Linked DNA regions of Oreochromis niloticus. The protein of the gene in region 2 purifies or fractionates together with the protein of the main gene of each other region. This does not show direct contact. Links are inferred from orthologs where the notes say so. Each region holds a gene or a part of one and is shown on either strand. Other genes may lie near its edges.

Region 1 (7,288 bases), on a different chromosome or scaffold from region 2:
CACAAATACCTCGGATCGACTCGGCACGGTTCGCCACGGTTTTCAGGGTTTTCCATTAGGTCATAGCACCTGGTACCAGGTATTTTTTAGTACCTGTTCTGCCAAAGTTCCAAGCCATCCGAGCGGGTGATAAATTGTGACATTGTCAGACTGCATGCCACTGATTGGCTGGGTCACAGGCGTTACTCAATGATTAATAAGATCGTTTCGTTCACGAATATCAACACCGCCATTTTTGAAATCCAGCAACGAGGGAAATAGCTACAAAAAACCAATCCCGTGTTCCCCGAGTCTGACGAAAAGACACAGAGCAGCAGGTATATTCTTGACTGGACGTCCACCTTTGTTGTAGCATTCATCTCGCATATTAATTACGTCTGGAGACCATGCACATTTCGAGGTACTACACTGTAATGGAAAATCATTTGATCCAAGTCTAGTGGCGAGTCGGCCCAAATAGGTTCTAATGGAAAAGGAGCTTATGTAGCATAGGCGAGTTTAAACCCTTCTCCATCAGAGCACCACAAAAAAATAACTATATTAAAACTAGTTATAATTGCATATTTTAATATTCTTTTCTGACTCTGTATTCAAATGTTATATTTTCCTAACTTGTCTGCTGGCAACAGTACAGGACAGACATAAACCTGAAGACAGGTTTTATGTCCAGTATTGTTGATGTCATGATGTTACAGTGTGCTTACAGAGGCATTGCTACTTCAACAGTGTGGCTTGTCATTAATATCCTTATAAGACTGCACCAGAAAGAAGAGTGTCACCAGAGTCACCTGCAGTGGACTCCACTCCGAATCAGTTGGTCCCTCTCCGCTGCCTGCCGCAGACACCTCGAGACCTGCCGCGGATTCCATGCCTCCACCTGCCGCGGACACCAGCATGGAATCCCCCTGCCAATCCTCCAAAGGGTGCCAGCCACCAACCAATCCACACTGCAGCAGAAAACCTGCCAATCCACCCCGCCGCCGGCCGCCTGCTAATTGCCACAATCCAAGCCACTTGAAAGGTCCCGCCTTCGCCCCGTCGTTGGCCTCTGGTCCTGTCGTCCATGGGTCTTCTCTGTAATGGTCGACCCCTAGACCCGCTGTGCCTTCTTTGTTGGGTTCCAGATCACAGTTGTGTCTGCCGGTGGACTCGTGACCAACCTCCTGAACAGTTGTCTCTTCCAACACTCTTGTGGTCAGTGGTGTTTGGTCTACCATTAATTTTCTTCTTTTTCACCTGAAGCAGAACAAATTATCATCAAACCAAGTGGCGAAGAAAAAGTGGCATGTCTTTGATCAATATTAAGTCATTTGTGTGGTAACACAGGTCTGCCCTCATCTTGGTCTCAACTATTGTAACCTGCGAGTATTAAGACCGCAAACCCTAAGCTGTACTGCTGCTAGCCTTTCTGAACGAATTATTAATAAGCACCAGTAAATACTAAGAAACTATAAAATACTATGAAACTGATTTGGCTGGTTGCTACCAAAGAGCCATCACAAATGCAGAAGCATGAACACTGTTGCCAACTCCTCAATAAGGAAAATTGCTATTGGCTGTCCTAAAAATCCCTAGAAGTTGCTAAATGATGTCATCGCCTAATTTGCATAATTGGTCATGCTTATGTAATTGTAACGAACACTGTAGGCCAGAGAAATAACATTGTGGAAGAGACATAAAGTGAGTAAAAAAACACACTAAACGCATTTAGAATATATTTAAACTACAAATTAAATTTCTTTTAGCATTTTTTTTTTTTTTTATGTCACAATTCCAACCCTCCTCCTTTAACTGGGCTTGGGACCTGCAAAAGTGACCCGAAATAGGCACTCTGGCGGAGTTACTTTTAGTGTGTGTGTTTGTGTTTTTAAGTAGTTTTAAACCTTGTGTTCCACAAAAAGTAACTGTAAAAGAAGAACTGACAGCGTTTCAGTTAGGGCGGGAGCAGCGGCTTCGCCCATGCGCTATTGCAGTTTGGACGCGTAGGCATACTTGCCAACCTTGATACCTCAGAATTAGGGAGAAATTCAAAAGGGCTGTTGTGTGGGGGGTATACATATACATATATATACAACAAACTTGAATTTTAAAATGTTTATTTATCGGATAAAATAAGTTAAATGTCACCGTTGTTATTGTCCGGCCGGAAACAGCGGGGGTGTCCAAATTCAGAGCCTTGTCCAATCAGGGGACGCTCTCTGTTGAGGAGAAAAGCATGAATTTGTTTGTATACGGATTATCCATTGTTTAAATGTCCCAGGCAGTCGAAAAGAAGGCAGAGCTGTTGAGAAATGCTAGGAGCTAACTGGGTGCTAACCGTGTCATTCAAATACATTAACTGTCGCAATGTTGGCAAAGAGAGGAAGTGACGTAAGATTTGCACATGCGTGGTACCGATTGTGTTTCCGGGTAGCAACAGTGCCCACGGCAGCACCCACTGCTTGTTGAGAGTAAGAGCGATGCATGCTTTCATGTCAAAAAGTCATCATAAGTCTCCAATAACACCAGCAAAAGTCGCCAGATTTGTTGCTAGTCGCTCTTTAGAAAAAAAAGTCGCTAAGGGGGTCTGAAAACTCGCTAAAGTTGACAACCCTGACCATGACAAGTATCGCTAGCTAGCCATTAGCAACTTAATACAACTTTCCCGGCCAACCAGACATTTCTCCTCTTCATTTTCATTAAGACGAAATTAATTTCTTAAAATTTCCATGGTTTAATGAAGTACCCAAACACTGACAGCGAATTAAAAAAGTAAATAACAAAGAGGACTGAAGGAATACAACACGTTTCTACCACCAGCCTAGCTAACGTTACAGGCTGTACGGAGGCTAGCTGGCGGCCTAAACCTGCACATCTAAACATATCTACAGTAACATGACGAATAAATCGTGGCAATAATGATGTTTACCGTATAGCCTAAACATAAAGAATCGTCTCATGATAGTTGGAGAGAATATTTTTTATTCTCTAACACGGATGAAAGCAGATTGTTTTCCTACAGTAACACGAAGGCACGGCTGTCTTACCTTTGCTATGAAAAAAAGACCGACATCCGGGCATGTGACGTATATAAGGACGCTGGCCAAGGGTGTTGCCCAACGTCGTTACGTTAAGTTTACGTTAAGGTGTGATGGTACTTGTAGTCCAAATAATGATTTTCTGTTGCTATAGCCCCTTTTCTATAAATACCTCCTCGGATCAACTCGGTTCGGTTTGCCTCAGTTTTCAGGGTTTTCCATTTGGTCAGAGTACCTGGTACCAGATACTTTTTTAGTACCTCCTCGGCCACAGTTCCAAGCAATCTGAGAAGGTCCTAAATTGTGATACTCATGAGTGTATTCATGAGAGCATTTTGTTCATGAATATCAACACCGCCATTTCTGAAACCCGGCAAAGGGGGAAATGGCTACGAAAAACAATGCCGTGTTCCCCGATTCTGACGAAAAGGCACAGACAGAGCAACAAGTATATTCTTGCCTCGACGTCCACCTTTGTTGTCGCGTTCATGTTGCATGTTAATTGCATTGTGGGATGCTCAGATGCCACACCGCCCTCTGCTTCTTGGACCAAGCCTGTTGGTCTCTCTCTGCCGCATGCTACAGACTACATGCCAGTACTTGCCATGGACTCCACGCCGCTGCCTGCCACGACACCAGAGTGGATTCCACCTGCCAAGGGTCTCCCGAGGGTCTCCATCTCAATTGCTGCCAGCCACCAATGAATCCACGCCTCAGCAGGCCACCTGCCAATCACCGCAAGCCACCAACCAAGCCACCTGAAGGGTTCTGACGTTTCCGGTGCTGTCACCCATTGGTCTTCGCTGTAATGGTTGACCCCTAGACCTGCTTTGCCTGCTTCGTCGTCTTCCAGATCACCATCGTGTCCACTGCTGGCCACGCGACTGGCCTCCCGAACTGTTGTCTCCTCCAACAGTCTTGATGACATTAGCCTTCGGTCTAGCCTTACTCTTATTCTCCACTTGGAGCAAAACAAATTATCATCTAAAAAAGTGGCAAAGAAAAAGTGGCATGTGTTTGATCCATATTAAAAAAATTGTATGGCACCACAGGTCTGCCTCTTGGTCTTAGCGGTCTTGATCTTCTTCTTATATATAGCCCTGCGAGCAGACCAGCAGTAGCGACCGATGCCCCGGGCCAGAACCGGGTTCTGGCTCCCTCGCTTCTTCTTCTTGGCAGCTTGGTCTCCCTCTGCCATCTGACACAAAGTAAAAAGAAGGTAGATGTTTGTTAGAGTCTCAGATGAGAAATGGTTTATTGTACCACAGTGATGTTATGGCATTACGTTCCTAGGTTTATTATTCTTCTAACACTGGTTTTTAGCAGCAGGACTCCAGCACCAACTACAGCAGAATAGCAGTGTTTCAAGATCTCAAACTCTAAGCTGTAGTGCTGCTAGTCTTTCTGAACAAACTATTAATAAGCACCAGTAAATTCCAAGAAACTATAACATACTATGATCTAGCATTTTCTAGTTTATGGAGTTTGTTACTTAATATTTAAAACTTTCTGTTCTTTCAAGTTTCATGATAATTTTTAAGTCTTTTATTAAGTATGTTTGAATTAGTCTTCAGTTCCTTGTGATTTTTAAGTTTCTCTCTCTCAGTGTCTCGTCTCCTCCTGTGGTTAGTCAGTCTTATTTTCACGTTTGTTTGTTTTTTTCATCTCAATGATTGGTGGTCCTTTTGTGTCTGTTTAGTGTCAGTCACGTCCCCATGTCTGTTTCTCGCCTGGCCCCAGTGTCAAGCCAGTGTGTCTTAGTCTACATCTCAGTTTGTTTCCTGTTTTATTTTAACAGTGTCTCGTCCTGTGTTCTGCATGTTCAGTTTTGCTTCCCCTGTCTTATTACAGGGAGTGCAGAATTATTAGGCAAGTTGTATTTTTGAGGAATAATTTTATTATTGAACAACAACCATGTTCTCAATGAACCCAAAAAACCCATTAATATCAAAGCTGAATGTTTTTGGAAGTAGTTTTTAGTTTTAGCTATTTTAGGGGGATATCTGTGTGTGCAGGTGACTATTACTGTGCATAATTATTAGGCAACTTAACAAAAAACAAATATATACCCATTTCAATTATTTATTTTTACCAGTGAAACCAATATAACATCTCCACATTCACAAATATACATTTCTGACATTCAAAAACAAAACAAAAACAAATCAGCGACCAATATAGCCACCTTTCTTTGCAAGGACACTCAAAAGCCTGCCATCCATGGATTCTGTCAGTGTTTTGATCTGTTCACCATCAACATTGCGTGCAGCAGCAACCACAGCCTCCCAGACACTGTTCAGAGAGGTGTACTGTTTTCCCTCCTTGTAAATCTCACATTTGATGATGGACCACAGGTTCTCAATGGGGTTCAGATCAGGTGAACAAGGAGGCCATGTCATTAGTTTTTCTTCTTTTATACCCTTTCTTGCCAGCCACGCTGTGGAGTACTTGGACGTGTGTGATGGAGCATTGTCCTGCATGAAAATCATGTTTTTCTTGAAGGATGGAGACTTCTTCCTGTACCACTGCTTGAAGAAGGTGTCTTCCAGAAACTGGCAGTAGGACTGGGAGTTGAGCTTGACTCCATCCTCAACCCGAAAAGGCCCCACAAGCTCATCTTTGATGATACCAGCCCAAACCAGTACTCCACCTCCACCTTGCTGGCGTCTGAGTCGGACTGGAGCTCTCTGCCCTTTACCAATCCAGCCACGGGCCCATCCATCTGGCCCATCAAGACTCACTCTCATTTCATCAGTCCATAAAACCTTAGAAAAATCAGTCTTGAGATATTTCTTGGCCCAGTCTTGACGTTTCAGCTTGTGTGTCTTGTTCAGTGGTGGTCGTCTTTCAGCCTTTCTTACCTTGGCCATGTCTCTGAGTATTGCACACCTTGTGCTTTTGGGCACTCCAGTGATGTTGCAGCTCTGAAATATGGCCAAACTGGTGGCAAGTGGCATCTTGGCAGCTGCACACTTGACTTTTCTCAGTTCATGGGCAGTTATTTTGCGCCTTGGTTTTTCCACACGCTTCTTGCGACCCTGTTGACTATTTTGAATGAAACGCTTGATTGTTTGATGATCACGCTTCAGAAGCTTTGCAATTTTAACACTGCTGCATCCCTCTGCAAGATATCTCACTATTTTTGACTTTTCTGAGCCTGTCAAGTCCTTCTTTTGACCCATTTTGCCAAAGGAAAGGAAGTTGCCTAATAATTATGCACACCCGATATAGGGTGTTGATGTCATTAGACCACACCCCTTCTCATTACAGAGATGCACATCATCTAATATGCTTAATTGGTAGTGGGCTTTCGAGCCTATACAGCTTGGAGTAAGACAACATGCATGAAGAGGATGATGTGGACAAAATACTCATTTGCCTAATAATTCTGCACTCCCTGTATGTCTGATTTGTTCCTCCTGTGTTCCCACCTGTCACCCATCCTTTCGTTATCCTGTGTGTATTTAAGTCCTCAATCTCCCTCTGCTCATTGCTAATTTTTGTATCATTGCAATAAAGCTGCCTCTTTTGGTTTATTTCTCCCGCCTCTGAGTCCTGTGTTTGGATCCTACCCTTGCCTGCCGCATAGCCTACTATGACAATAAGGAAGTAATGCCGTGGCACAAATCCATGATGCAGATTTAAAACACACTTTAACTCAAATATAGCAAAAGTTCAAACTGTTCTGATAAAGCGGGGACATTGCTGTGACTTATAAAGCGTCCGCTTAATTTGATTTTTTCTCTAAATAGGGTCCAAAACATGCTGTTGTAGCCAGTGATGGGAATAACGGTGTTACTAACGGCGTTACTTTTTCAGTAACGATTAATCTAACTAATTACTATTTCTATCGTTACAACGCCGTTACCGTTACTAACAAGAAAATGCGGTGCAGTCGCAACCGTCAACAAACAGACGGTTGAAGCTGTGTTCAGCTTACCGCACGTAAGTAATCTGGGCGCTACAGCTTTAAGCAGCTGCGCGCGCTCCCGCGGATGGCAATCATGATCACTTTTTGGCGCAACACCTGGAGCTAGGGGGCAAAACAATCGCATGAGTGCTGCTGTTTGACTGAGGAAGAATAAAGTAGTCGTGGTAAGCCAATCACACGACCACTTTAAGATGACAAAGCAACAAGGTGATAGTTTTTAAAAATTGTGCTAATAGGCCACGTAAAACCAGAGTCATGATAATCAATATATACGCGTGTTTTTTTCCTGAATAGTTTCGTCATGTTTACTGTCCCTCTAGGACAGCGCTAGCAAGCACTC
Region 2 (7,612 bases):
CTCCTGACACTAAGTTCAGACTATGGGTTTGTGTTGGAGGATGATGAAGGGATCTGTGGTTATGCTCTCGGCACCGTAGATGTTAAACCCTTTATCAAGAAATGCAAGTTGAGCTGGATTCCCTTCATGCAAGAGAAATACCACAAACCTGACTGTGATAAGGACCTCACAGAGGCTGAGGTATGCTTATAATCCATTTCTTTCTATCATAATATTGAGCGTCATGATTGTGCGTCCTTTTGTTAAGATTACTAAAGCACTCTTTCATTATTGTAGAAGATGATACTGACTTTCCATGAAGAGGAGGAGGGTCTGCCGGACTCTTTCCTCTCCAACTTTCCCTCTCTCATCAAGGTTGACATTCACGCCAAAGTCACTGACCCCAGTGTGGCCAAAAGCATGATGGGCTGTCTGTTATCTTCTCTTAAGGCCAACGGTAGGTAGCAGCCAACCGTGTCTTTAGCCTCCTGCCTCATAACCACTCCGTAGAAGTATTGATTCATTAAGTTTATTTTTCAAGTTTTAGTAAAGTGGAAAACAAAGGTTCACTTATCTAGATGTAATGTGTGCATGGGGCCAAAGTCCAAAAACGACAAGATTAGAAGCCTACATGACTTTCCATTTTTATCATAAAGGCTTCCTTACCCCTTTTATATTTAATGTAAACAAACCAAGGGTAGTGAAGTTTGGTTCTCTTACCTGTCTCCTTTCTCTCTCAGGATCCCGCGGCGCGTTCTGTAAGGTTCGACAGACTGATAAGCGAATGTTGGACTTCTATAGTAAGCTGGGATGCTTTGAAGTGGCCAAAATGGAGGGCTTTCCTAAAGACATCATCATCATGGGCCGTAGCCTTTGAAGAAACATCCTGCGACAATAACGGACAAAGAGCGAGTTGACATAGTTTAAATGTGTTTGCTACCTTCATGAGAAAAACACTTTCATGGTGATTTTTATACCACGTTACCAATCTGGGCTCTTTTTAGGATTTGTGTGGAAGCACAGCGGATGCCTGTGCCCCCCTTAGATGTTTTGGCTCTACTGGATTCAGCACGTCAAAGGCCAAGGAGTGATCTGTAATCTCTTTCAGTCAGTAACACACAAGTGGGACTCCTTCTCTGATCCCACTATTCCTTCCTAGGAGGAAGGAAGGAAAGAGGAAGGAAGAGATGACTCCTTGAGCCCTTCTTAACCCACCCACCTCCTTTTTTTTTTTTTTTTTTTTTTCTTTTTTTTTTGTTATATCCAGTGGCCATTACATGAATTTTACCCGCATGCCTGAAATCAGCGTCTGTATCTGAAGTGAAGGCTGAGCTGTGAAATGAGGGTAGCCCGCATCTAATGTCGTAACTACCGCCACATCCTGCTTTCCCAGATGTGACATGGAGAAATGGTATAGTCGTTGGCTTAGGTGGAACATCTTTATGCAGGATGTGAAGTGCTGTTTGAGAGTTTGCCTTTCGTTTGCACATCATGGTATTTTCGGTCGCTCCAAATACTTGGAGATGGCTGCCTTTTAGGTAGTGTGTTTCTGACAAAATTGATGTGAAGCACTGTGTGTGTACACAAAGGGTGAACAGTTGTAGCTTTTTAAGGTTTTGCCAAGCCCTGAATTAAATGTTGCCACAGGCCAACAAAGAAAACGTCAAAGAGGAGGTCCTTTTGAATTACCGTTCTAGTAGTAGACATTTGGAAAGCAATTAAAGCTTTCATGTGTTCATTAACATGTTTTTCAGCCATTGCCTTTTTGTTCCTTGCCTTATTATTTTAGCTTTATAATTTCACACACGGCTAGAGATGGCACGTTGGCCTCGTTGTTTTTCAAATTCCAGAGATGTAGCCTCACACTCACAGTAACGCGTCTTGGTTTTTGCTCTACCAGATCCATAACGCAAGCACAAAAACCCTTCAGTAAACCTAAGCTGACTAAAAAGCCGATATTGTACCATTTTTAGTTGTTAAATTCTACATTTATCTAATATTGTTGAAATGTTTGTCTTTCCTAACTTTGCGTAGTTAAAATGTCAAGTTTACCACAGTTTGTTTCGTTCCTGTTTGAAAGCACGAATGTTTAAATCAACACTTCCTGAGAGTAGTACACCACGGGACCAAAATGTGTTAGGCTTTTTGTGTTGCTTTGTGTTTTTGTTTTTTGGGGGGGGGTTGTAGTTGTTGTTGGTTTTTCTTTTGCTTGAAATGATGAAGAATCTGAAATCTTCTTTTCTTCCACTGATATGAAATTGTTCATTTCACCAGACCTGACTGGCAAATTCACTTGTGTCATCCCTTAATGCTTTGTTTCAGCGTTGCATACCAGTAAATGTATTCTCAGCTGCGCTTCAGCGAGGTGCTCTTGGGATCACTGAGGTTGTTGAATGTTTTCACCAAATGTGAAAATGGCAATGGTTTCCACACTGTTTAGTTCAGTTGACAGGGTTTGGAGCAGAAATTTATTTACCCCCCCCCTCCTCACAAGCTCTTCATTGAATGTGTTTTTAAGTCAAAGCTATAATTTGCTTTTATGAATTTTTTTTTTTTGTTTGTTTGTTTGTTCTTTTAAAAAAGCACTTTCACTTATAGGAGTGTTTAACCAGTTAACTGAGGATCTGTGGTTGTTACTCAGTAGCTGCCTGCCAATGTGATGTTTTGAAACTGTGCATTCATAATGTGCATGAGTTGTAATGGATTTCTTGTGGCAGATGCTAGGAAAAAAATAACCTCATCTGATGCTACATAGAGGAAGAAGCATGCCACTCAGCCCTATGAGTATAATACTGTTGTTCTCGGACAGTCTGTAAACTCTGTCGATCATAAAGTGTTATTTTGTTTTCTTTATTGAAACTGCTGCCAGCAAACTAACGCTGGTTTAGTTAATCCCTCATCCTGTACAGCCGTCTTACCTGTCAGCCAGGTGTGAAACTCACCCACAGGATCTGCTCTCTGTCTGCTGAAACAGCGGTATAATTTTCACACTTGTCTTAAATGGTTCATTTTGCAGTTTGCTGATGCTTGAGCTTTCTCCTCTGCCAACTAGGTTTGATTAATATTTGGCTGTGAAAGAGAGAGGGCTCCAGTTGTAGATTTTCAGTTAAGGGGTGGGGGGGGTCATTAAAGTGACAGTTTTCCATTGTAAAGTTTGTATGTAAAATATATAAAATGGAAAAACTAATAAACGATAAGTGACTGTTGCTTTGTGTCCTGTGTGCCACTATTTATTTAGATTTTTTTTTTTTTTTTTTTTTAATACCTGTCTGTAGTGAAAGATTTCATGTAAGGTTTTTACAAGTAAAAGAAAAGTAATGTGTTTACAATAAAGGAATACTGACCTGTTCAGATGGGTCAGAAGTGACCTTTGGTTTAATATCCTTGTTAAAAGAATCTTTATTGCAAACAATTATGTAATAATCAGCAGCCAGTGGTTAGGTACACCTGTTCAACTAGTCATTAAGGCAAATATCTACTTTCATGCTACCTACTGAAGATCAAACCAAGCATCAGAATGGAGCTAAAAGATGATTTTAACTGACTTTAAATGTGGAATCTGTGATGCCATACAGGCTGAGTATTCAGAAGCTGGTGATCTACTGGGATTTTTCCTGCAGTAATTTCAAGGATTTATAGAAAGTGTTTTTTGTTTTGTTTTTTAAATCGGTGAGTAGCCGTTTTTTAGGTAGAAATGATTCGTTGAGGTCAGAGGAAAATGGCCAGACTGCTTTTGAACTGATATGAAAACGACCATAACCACTGATTTACAACCAATGTGTGCACAAGAGCATCTCTGAACACTGAAGCAGATGGCTTATAGCAGCAGAAGACCGTGCTGGGGTGCCACTCATGTCAAGTAAGGACAGGAACCCAAGGCTGCAAGTCACATGGGATTGCCAAAACTGGAAAAAACTTTCTGGATTTTTGCTGCAACATTTGTAATGGTATGATCAGAATTTGGCATTAACAAGCTGAAAGCACGAGCTCATTCCTGCCTTGTATCAAATACTCAGGCTCCTGGTGGTGTAATGGTGTGAGGGGGTTTTCTCTGCGTACTTTGGGCCCCTTAGTACCAACTGAGCATCATTTAAACACCACAGTCTGAGTATTGTTGCTGACCATGTCCATCCTTTAAGACCACAGTGTGTCCATTTTTGATGTCTGTTTCCAACAGGATAACACTCACAAAGCTCAAATCATCTCAAACTGGTATCTTGAACATGACACTTAGTTCACTGCACTCAAATGGCCTCCACAGTCACCAGATTTCAACAACAGAGCACCTCTGGGATGTGATGGAACATGAGATTCCCATCATGGATGTGCAGCAACTGTGTGGTGCTTTTCATGTCAATATGGACCAAAATCTCTGAGGAAGGTTTCCCCCTGGTTGAATCTATGTCACGAAAACAGCTCTAAGGGACTAAGTTTAAGCAGATATTATTAGCATTAGCAGATGGTATTGTTTACCTTATTATAATATTCTATATTTCACTTTATTTTACATTAAGTTCAATAGTTTTTAAGTTTATTAGCCACCGCTCTGAATCAGCTCAGGTAAATGAGAAGTTCATCACGTCTTTTACCCAGTCAGCGCCTGATTTCTGTGAAAGGAGGGAATTGCCGAGCCACGGGCGCGCACTGATGACGTATCAGGTACGCGTGTAGGCTGCGACGTGCTTGTTATTTATCGTGGAGAGCTCATTAGAGAGGAAAGCGCCAGCAGAATACTTAACTTTTACCGTTTCTGCAAAATGTCTTTCCAAGACGATGAATCCTCGGACGCCGGACTGAGCGGTCAATCCAGGCTGGAGAGCTTCCTGTTCAGTAAGGGCCTGTTAAACAGTCTGTCAGAGATGCTCTGTAGGCGCACACGTGGGTTTCTGCTGTGATGTTCCTACAGAAATTTCTCACTCCCTTTTTTTTTTACTGGGGGTTTGATTTTGGATTGTTTTGTTTTGGGGGTTTTTGTTAATAAAAACCGCTGTCATTTAATTGCTGGTCTTACTGTTATTCCAGATTGCGAGCTGTCCTCCAAAGTACCTTTCTACACTTTCCAAGGAGATGAGGAGGAGGAGGAGGACCTGGAGCACTTCCTTGAACTCAGAACAGTATGCACAGTTTTGTTACCATCATTGGGATTTATCAGCGGCACGAACACACCAGACAGATGTTGTGTTGTGATTGCTGCAGGTTTGCTTAGGTAACGGTGCCAAGGAGGAGAGCAATGTGGTGGAGGTGACAGCCATGAACCACCAAGGAAAGACGATCTCGGTGCCCATTGCCAACCTTCACATCAAGTGTCTCCCCATGGTGTGTAAACTGAGGCTGATGTGCTGCACAGCTGAAGTTTGATCTGTCTTAACTTTGATGCTTTGTGTCCTCAGGTGAGTCTGGGAGAGTTTGAGCTGAAAGCCCCAGTCACCATCCGACTCAAGGCCGGCACAGGGCCAGTTTCTGTCAGTGGGCTACACCTTATTGGTAATATTCTACTTTCTTTGTGCTTTAACACTTTAACACTGCCAGTACTGATATTCTAAGAAGCTCACTGACAATATCTCATCAGTTTTCAGCCCCTTCATTGTATTTATATCAAAATGATAGTAATCAGTGAATAATAGGAACTGATCCAATTTAATGCAGGTACTCTTTTCAAACTGAGTTGGCTGACCCAAATAAACATACAGCTGGAATTTTGTATTTTTATTTGTAGCTGATTATAAAAAATTGAATTCCTCTGCTTGACATTTAAGGAAGTTAATTAGAGTAATGCTTGGCTGCAGTTGAGTGTTTGACCTATTGGTCTATATTAGGGATGGGCAACAGTTTTTCGCAGTGTGACGTGGATAAAATAAAACAAAGACCCAGACATTCAAACGTTCCAATATGTCGCCCCTAACCCTGAATTATTCTAAACTACATGAATTTTGGTAGGCATAATATGTAAGAATAAGGTCCTTGTTTAAAAAATCAAGAGCTTTCTACTAGAAAGTTTGGATAAAATAGTCTGCTTAAATGCTGTATCAGCTTTTAATTTTCTATATTTTTTTAAGTGTTTAAGTGAAGGCGTTGTAATTAATAACAGGGGAAAAATGATTTGCACACAAGTGAAAGCAGTGCCGAACAACATCCGTAAATATGGGTTCTCATTTTTATTTCTTTTATTTATTTGGTGGGAGGCAGGGCTTGTTCAGTTTGCCTTAAACTCTTTCCCCCATGAAGATGACGTTTAACCAACTCCTCCGTAACTTTCACAAAGAGTTTTGACCTCTCAGTATGTATCGCTATCGTCATTTGAGGACTGTAACAGTAGTTTCCGGGTTTTTCCAAGTGTAGCTGCATAATCAGAGACGACCCTCACTAACTTCTGATGCAAACCCGTTCATTTTGTTTTATAAGCAGGCATGATAGATAACAGATTCAGGGGTTACTCCTAGTAGGCTTTCAAGGGGTAAAACGTTAAGGTCTGAGCTGGACTGTAGGCCATATTTTGCCCTCATCAGGTCTGCCAGCTTTCATTCCCCTGAAATTCCTGTTTGGTCAGACAGTCACCACTATCACCTTTATAAGAACATCAGCAGCCTTTCAGGATGGTTTTTTATTTTGGGGAATTTCTGCCAAAACAAACAACCTAATGAAGATCTTTAGCTCCAGCTTATTCATCGTACTTTTAAAAGAACGTTTACTCAAATTAAGTCCCCCTACCCCCGAGATGTTTCCTCTCTCATACAAGAGCCTTCTTCAGTTCTACAAGCTGATTGGGAATCCCAGGTATTTAACCTCCACTGGGGTTATCACCTTGGAGGCGGTCCTGACACTTTTACGTGAACCTGAAAATCAAGCTCAGTTGCCTTCGGCTTAATTGCTTAACACATATACTATTTTGAAAAAGATCTTTTGTACCTCACAGCTTTTGAGTAACTACAGTCTAAAGCGGCGGCATCAGGATCCAAACTCATTTAATCCTCAATACAGGTGAATGTCATGAATGTCCTCTGTAGTGAAACACCTGGAGTAACCTTGGTGCTCCCTCACCCTGGTAGACAAAAGGTTAAATATATCTCTGGGCAATAAAACTTAGTAACAGAAATGTGCCACTTACATCTTACAACTTTATTCCTTCTGCTGGTTCGAGTTAGTGTGTGCGTGAGGGTCAACCGTGAGGGCGCGTTCAATAAAGCGACCTTTCTGGCCCTTAAAAAGATAGAAAATGGTGAATCCTTTATCTTTTGTTCTTTCAATATGAAACAAAATAACAGAACATTAAAGGGCTGAGTCTCACGCTCGCAGTCTAGATGGTGATACCGGGATTCGGTGTAACACGGTGAGCTGACATTTTCTCCTGATCTTCTCAGTCTCACAGGTCGAAAACTCCGATGTGTCTGAGGATGAAGATGAGGAGGAGGAAGAAGAGGAAGAGCTGCCTGCTATCAAACCAGCAAAGAAGAAGCAGAAGCAGTAGGCGGCGAGTTCACTGATGGATTTTTTTTTTTCTTATTCTTTTTTTTCTGAAATAGCTCACTCTCTGATGCATTTTAAGAAATAACACTTTTTTTGTACCAGACGGACACATTTTGCAAAGTTCCCACTTCTTCCACACCGGCCGCATGAACGCTGTGTGTGGTGGCAG

Evidence for each region.
Region 1: the proteins of npm3 (region 2) and rpl6 purify together in Homo sapiens (affinity purification with mass spectrometry; 3 studies listed by BioGRID and IntAct, with this or other methods). This does not show direct contact. The link is inferred for Oreochromis niloticus from reciprocal best matches to the Homo sapiens genes NPM3 and RPL6.

Annotation. Positions count from the first base shown.
Region 1 is NC_031977.2:25,905,356-25,912,643, reverse strand, and holds the start of rpl6 (large ribosomal subunit protein eL6), read right to left. Parts: upstream 3,042-7,288; 5' UTR 3,027-3,041; intron 1-3,026.
Region 2 is NC_031978.2:18,872,749-18,880,360, forward strand, and holds the start of npm3 (nucleoplasmin-3), read left to right. Parts: upstream 1-4,612; 5' UTR 4,613-4,736; coding exon 4,737-4,809; intron 4,810-5,001; coding exon 5,002-5,093; intron 5,094-5,175; coding exon 5,176-5,295; intron 5,296-5,369; coding exon 5,370-5,463; intron 5,464-7,337; coding exon 7,338-7,444; 3' UTR 7,445-7,612. Other genes in the region: oga (protein O-GlcNAcase), read left to right, coding at 1-180, 277-436, 720-856. UniProt on the Homo sapiens protein: Plays a role in the regulation of diverse cellular processes such as ribosome biogenesis, chromatin remodeling or protein chaperoning. Modulates the histone chaperone function and the RNA-binding activity of nucleolar phosphoprotein B23/NPM.